2 linked regions of the Saccharomyces cerevisiae S288C genome follow. The protein of the gene in region 1 purifies or fractionates together with the protein of each later gene. This does not show direct contact. Each region holds a gene or a part of one and is shown on either strand. Other genes may lie near its edges.

Region 1 (3,759 bases):
TCACTTTACCTTGTTCGTTACCCACGGCCAGTAGCCCACCAGATGGCGAAAATGCGACACTGGTAACTTTACCCAAAGGCGTCCCGCTGGTAGGCCAGTTGCTGAACACGCTACAAGAAGGCAGATGAACTAGTCTCAAAGCATCCTTGACTGCACGGGATGCCATGCACAGTATTTGACCATCAGGGGAAAATTGTAGATTAGAAATGGTAGTTGTTAGCTGGTCCAAGGCGGCGACAGGTGTAGGGGTCGACGAGGTCATAGCATTATTTCTATCGTAAAGATTAACAAATCCACTCTCACTACCTACCGCAAGCCACCTATTTTGCTTTATCTTACTTATTTGAAGAGCCGGACAAGTAGTTGTTGTCCCACCACCAACTTGGATTTTTGTTATACCCACGCCACCTTGGTCTTTCCATCTTCTTATAACATGGCCATTCTTATTCAAGTCAAATTCCCACACTTCACCATACGCGTTTACAGCAATTAAAATGGTCCTAAACTTACCACGTGAAATAGGTTGATAATCGATACAGAAATCCGTTATCACACCTTCTATCTTGCAGCCCATTAACCATAGTCCGGAAGTGGAATGTAAAATGTTAATCCAACCATTATTACCCTGTAAAAGGACAATTCCATGGACAGAATTTGTTTGTGAATTCTGCAAATGTGCAACTTTGAAATTCTCAAATGATCTTTGAGTGGACTCATGTCCATACAATCTGGAAAATTTTTCGATTTTGGCAGTCTGTGAATGAGTTAAATTTTCTAAGGATAAGTCCCAGGAATGCATATATCTTCTTCTACCGGCGGTGAATATATTTTGTTGATTTTGGTTTGATAGAGAAGTATAGAAAGTACATGTTTGTATTGGAGACCCAACCAGGTGCAAACTTGTCACTAGATGGTTCGTTTTCCCGTCAATATGATATATTCTTAAGGTCTTATCATACCCACCCGTTAACAGTAGAGGCTTAGAAGGATGGAATGAAAGAGATTGTATGGCGGAATGAGACGGGTGTGATGCATTTGCATCTTTAAGACGCACAATGTCAAGTTTCTTAGGGGGTAATAGTTTGGAATTCGATAAAGTGTCTTTATAATTGTAAGTAGTAGACAGGATCTTCGTTAGAGCATTAATATCTCCATTAATAACATTATTAGAGCCTTCTTCTTCATCGTCTTCTTCGTCATCTAATTCAGAATCAGATTCATCGTCCACCCATTTGGGCCTTGGATATATCTTTTCAAACTGAGATCTCAATCTGTTGATGTAATGAACACCGTTGATTTTGGACTCGTTATAGGAGGTTCTTAATTTCTTTGTCTTATTGGTAACAAGAATAGGCACTTTAATTTTTTCATCATCCGAATCTATCCAAGCAGCTTCTTCAGAGTCCTCAGAATAATCATCGCTTGAAGAGTCATCTTCGTCATCCACGTCCATGGTATCTTCATTCTTATCTTGACTATCTTCGTTACCACCATCGTCCACAAAAAATAACTGATCGTTGTTAACATGGTCTAATTCACCGTTCTGCGCTTCATCTTCTTCACTGTTATCTGATTCAGATCCCTCATCCTCCTGGTCTTCAACATCCATTTCTTGTTCATTGAAAATGAAATCGGCATTAAATTTAGCGAGATTTTCTTGTAAATCTGTTGTATCACCGAATACAAATTTGGCTAGTAACTGTTCTTCTTCATCTGGTGGAGGTACGCTAACATTCATTGCGGTTGTTGCCATTGTCATTGTCGCACTAATGTAGGCTGATATACACTTTCAAGAACGATACCACAACAGGACCAGAGTGATCGATGAGATGAGGTGAAATTTTTTTATTTTTCGTTTTTTTCATTTCATATTATTAAATTCGTCGGATGTGATGCCAATTAACCACATAATAGCAATAGTAATGGAAGTTACAGGTGACATAAAATCTACTGCGAATAACCTTTGAAAGGATAACTATGTTTGGCCATTTTTTTCTACGGACGTATATTTCACTAAATATGTACATAGAAAAGTCATAAAAATTACCATAATGAAATGCGATGCCTCTCAAATCAAACCCAAGTTTCGCGCATGAAATTCAGCATGTTCTGGAACGAAAGTGCTGACAAAGTAATAGGAGTGATCAAAGCCGTGAACTTTTTTTATTTCCACGTAGTCCTGCCATGAAGTGGCTTTCACCGCCTCAAGTAGTAATTCCGGTTTCAAGTGTTCTTCCAAAAAGGGATCGGAGTCTCCTACATGGATCAAAATTCTGTCGTCGCCCACATGTCTAATATTCTTGATTAATAAACATGGGTCGTACGCTTCCCACTGGGCTTTTTCTTCGCCCAGATAACCTTTAAACGCTTTTTGACCCCAGGGAACGTTGGAAGGGTTCACGATAGGGGCGAAGGCAGAACAAGATTTGTATCTCTTTCCGGAATAGCCCTTCAAATACCCACAAATTGCACCATATCCCCCCATCGAATGGCCTGTGATGGCAACATTGTCCAAGAAGTCCAGCTTTACGTCACCGTTCTTGTTAAAATGAGAATCTAATGTTTGTGGGAGTTCTTTGTGAATGTAGTCGTACATCTGGTAATGTTGGGCGTATGGTTCTTGGGTGGCATTTAGATAGAATCCGGCGCCCTGTCCAAAATCCCAGGAGCCCTCAGGATCATTGGCTACTTCGTCACCACGTGGGGACGTATCCGGAAAGACTATTGCAAATCCGTACTTGTCAGCTTGAAACTGCCAAAAAGCCTTCTCAGAGGCGTTGTCTGGCGTGCACGTCAAGCCAGAAAGGTAAAACACAGTTGGGATACGCTTATTTCTTGGAAAATCTTGGGCGTAATAGTGCTTAGGCAAATAGATATTGACGTTCATGCTGGTCTTGGTAGAGTTCGAGTTATGTGACAACTTGATCAATCTGCCACCACAGACACTAAATTCCTTAACAACCTTCATATTGAACTATGTGAATCGCTTATATGTATTTTATTGATGCTATATATTGTCAAAAATGTGTATTGATCTTTTGTGTGTGTGTGTGTGGATCTCCCCTTAGCAGTCGCATGTTTTCCACACGCGCAAGGTCATAATCGTGCGATATATACAAGGCATATTGTGTAAGATATGAGTAAAAAAAGGAAACGAAAATATGTCCTAATTGTCTTCGTCAACACTCACCACTTTATGCTTCACCTGGGGACTGGAACCCTTGGAGGTAGTGGTGGTAGTAATGTCTACCGTGCCATCGTCAAAGTAGATTTTTTCAGTTTTGACGGTGCTGGGTTTTGCATCATTGGAATCCTTCGTGGTACTAATGGACTGTGCCCTTCCAACAATTTTCTTGGATCCATCTGCAGAAGCATATTCAGCATCGTTGCCCAGATGCAAGTCGTCCCAATTCAACATGAGGTCTTCTGGAGTTCTAGCCAGAGGCTCTACGGCAGTGCTCCTAGTCTTGATTCTTTGTTTTTGTAGTCTATTCATGTGCGACCTCCACTTCAAAAAGAGGTTGAAATCATTGAAGAACAACCCATGAGAGTGCGACTTGTCAGATTTGATCTCCTCCAGAGGTAAGAGGAAGTCCAATTGTGGTAGAGGGGGGATAGCCTTACTTGGGACAAGACATTTCCAAATCCCTTGGGTGGTCCATGCAGACTGGCCCTTAAGTTCTTCGCACTTGTCAAACTGCTTCACCGTAGGGATTCCGGACGCCATGGCAAGTGCACTATCTCCAAGATCTCTGAAGT
Region 2 (3,412 bases), on another chromosome or scaffold:
GGTAGATAACATGACAGTCGTGGTCCACATCAAAATCTGTAGGATCAAACAATGAGTGTTCTCTCGTAGGAGGTAGAGCTGTAAATGGAATAGAAGAAATAGACGTAAATGAGCCAATAACGACCAAAGCACTTGCGATGAGAACTAAAGTGGCGTAGTTGAATACTAAAGAATGGCTTTCCACCAAGTGTGTAATCTTGTGAGCAACGCGATATGATATCTTATCAAAGGCAGTGGTTAATTTGTTATTGTGGTTTTCAACTATAGCATTGATCTGTTCAAAAACTTGTTCTAATTCCTTGTTCGACGCACTTTGGTTAGCGCTTGATGAATTGTTCCTAAAGGCACGAGATGACCACTCTGAAAGGTGGTCAACAAATGAATTCAAATACTTGTCCATCGTGTATGAGTTTGTTCCCCATTATAGATCTGTAGTATTGCTCAAAAAGGGAGCACTTTACAAATCTTGTCCTAAATACTCCCATTCGGAGAGGGGTTCTTTTTTTTCCGGTGCCTCAAAATCCTTTTTTTTTTGATGGCGCAAAAGACACTTAAGAAAAGTGAATACTTTTTATAAACGTAATCCTATAAAACATGAAAAGAAGGATTACGGAACGTCTGCCTGATTCACTTATATATACTATATAGATGGTAAAAATCTAACGTTTCCGTTGTTTCTTCCATTTAAATGAAATTTTTCCTGAAGAGTCTACGATTTTTTTCTTGGAACCCTTCTTCAACAATTCTCTTTGAGCATCCATTCTTTGTTGGACCTGTTTCAATTGAGTTTCCCTCTGTAAGTGCTGCTTGACTTGCTTGAACTTTTTCAATTTCTTTTTGTCTAATGATTCCTTTGGCATTATTGATGAAGCGTTCCTATTGTTTGAAATATCTTGGGCTAATTGGTCCTTAGTTAATCTATTTTCAGATCTATTCACCATCTCGGAGGTGGTATTGAAAAACTTCTCTGGGGTGAATTCGTTCATCTTCTCTCGGGAATCGACGAATATTGTATGATTCCCACTGCTTTTGAACATCAACTGTTTCGCTCCTTTCTCCAGCTTTTTCAGCTCTATTTGCCTCAGCGTCCTCACATAATTACTATCTTGCGTTTTGAGTAATTTAACTTGATCCATGGAAAGCGATTCGTCTTCTTCGTCACCGTGACGTGAGCTGATCAGCAGTCCTTTTGCATCTGTCTTCCTTGAATGCATAGCATGGTAGTATTCATCTGGATTTCTCTCTTTTGCTTTTTCTCTGAGGACTTTCAAAGTGGACTGCTTCCTGTGGAAGTCTTGAGCACGTTTCACATAGTCTTTATGCTTTTCTAAAAACCCATATCTGGAACGGCTAGTTAGCTGAGAACGTTCTCTATGCTGCTTTTTCTGAACATCATGTACAAGTTTAGCCATATCTTTTGTCTGTTGTTGGCTGTAACGAACTAGAAAACCCCACTAGTATTATTCGATGATATGCAACTTGCTCTTATTGTAGTTTCTTAGCATTGTTTTCTTTACTCTTTTTCTTCAAATCGCGATGAGCTCATCTAGCCATAAAAAAATTTCATCTTTTACGTGCATAACGACAAACCTTTAAGCCTTAGAGGACTTGGTGATGTGCTCCTTTATAACAACGATTACTTCCATTGAACAGCAACACCTGCAAAATCGGAGCTGCAAAATTATTGATTGGATGTGGCAAAAATAGGAATGGGCGATCATAATCTGCCGGATTTTCAGACATGTTTGAAGTTTTCTGTTACAGCTAAAAAGAGCTTTCTATGTATGTATAGAGACAGCGTCTCAAAGGAAAAATTAGCCTCTTCGATGCCAAGTACTTGTGATATACAACTGAAGAGGGCAATCAATGACGCTTATCCGGGCGGAGGAATAAAGGTCACGGTTCTGAACTCAACAACTGCAAGCTTGGACTCGTTAGCAACTACACATGTTAAGGAATTTGAGATTGTTATCATTCCAGACATAAATTCTCTTTTACAGCCAGACCAAGCGAAATTAGTAAAAATTATGAGAGATTGCACAGTGGCGATTGAGAAGGCACAGTCAACACGTATATTTATAGGAGTGGTTCATTGGAATAATCCCGTGCAGCCTTCAGGCGCCGCTAAGGATGGGGATGAAGCAGGTAAACCAGCTCCCAAAACTCGCATCTTCCTGCCCACGTCTTTCCGTATGGGCGCTTGGCTCAAACACAAATTCTGGTTTGCATGTGCACCCCCATATTTGGATTTTGAAAGTTCAACTGAGTCTAGCATTAATACAAGAGCCAATAATAGCATTGGTATGGCTGAGGAAGAGAAGCAGGAGCCAGAGAGCAAGAGGTCGATCATATTAAATGAAGAGGCAAATCTGAACGATGTATTTGTGGGGTCCACTGTAAGACGGTATATTCTCGATATCATGGTCCATTTGCGAACGCATAGATTGACGTATAACGCCAAAGCCGGCGGGGTATATACAAATTCATTGGACGACGTGGTGTTATTGTCTAGATTAATTGGTCTACATAGCGGCAAGATGTTTGTGTCACCTTCACATGTCAAAGAGGCGTCCAGGTGGTACTTCCCCATGCACTTGGAATTGGTTCAGCGTTCCTCCATGGATAGTTCCTTATTGTACGGTAGCGACCCCAACTTGGTGGACGAAATGCTAGAGAAACTTGCGAAGATTAAGTGTGAGGAGGTTAATGAGTTTGAGAATCCCCTTTTCCTGGAATCTCTCGTAGTGAAAAACGTACTAAGTAAAGTCGTGCCGCCCGTGTAAGTTTATTATGTATTTCGAGCATGCATCTGGAACCTATGTTTACATACGTACAAACGGTATTTAAAAGTTTCTATTCTTAGCGTCAATTGCCCTTTATCGTTTTGTTAACCAATTGTTGTTTTTATTCATTATGCCATGACCCGAAAAATGAGCAAAATCGGTCAAAGTAAATAGCTAAATATTTGGTCTAAAAAGTAAGAGAGAAATGAAAATGGCAAGGCTTAACTACTTTGCAATAGTGTATATAGACATTACCAATTGAGTCCAGCAACGAAAGATTCCGCTTGCACTTGGTCAATCATTTACTGACCATAATACGAAGTAATAGAGATGCTACTAAAAGATGACCATGCGATTACAATTTACAATAGACAATTAAGCGCAAGGACAATCAGTATGCATTCCATTTCTAATAGACAAGGTGCTATGAGTGAATTGCTAGCCTCCCCTTTTTATTTTGTGCGGTCACCGCAAGGGACAAAGCTTTTCTTAGAAAACCGTCTGAGAAGCATAACGTACGCCATCCCCTAGACATATTAATAATGCTACAGATACTATGCTGCTCGTCTTTTTTTGACGACCCTTTTATTGCAATGTGCAACTAATGGCAAACAACCACATAGTATCAC

The links. The genes of interacting proteins can lie anywhere in the genome.
Region 2: the proteins of UTP18 (region 1) and UTP11 purify together in Saccharomyces cerevisiae (affinity purification with mass spectrometry, with the first as the bait; 2 studies listed by BioGRID). This does not show direct contact.

Annotation. Positions count from the first base shown.
Region 1 is NC_001142.9:310,948-314,706, forward strand, and holds the start of UTP18 (Utp18p), read right to left. Parts: upstream 1,760-3,759; coding exon 1-1,759. Other genes in the region: YJL068C (S-formylglutathione hydrolase), read right to left, coding at 2,069-2,968; MPM1 (Mpm1p), read right to left, coding at 3,167-3,759. UniProt on the Saccharomyces cerevisiae protein: Involved in nucleolar processing of pre-18S ribosomal RNA and ribosome assembly.
Region 2 is NC_001143.9:255,061-258,472, forward strand, and holds UTP11 (rRNA-processing protein UTP11), read right to left. Parts: upstream 1,413-3,412; coding exon 660-1,412; downstream 1-659. Other genes in the region: YPF1 (aspartic endopeptidase), read right to left, coding at 1-400; MTC2 (Mtc2p), read left to right, coding at 1,710-2,783. UniProt on the Saccharomyces cerevisiae protein: Involved in nucleolar processing of pre-18S ribosomal RNA.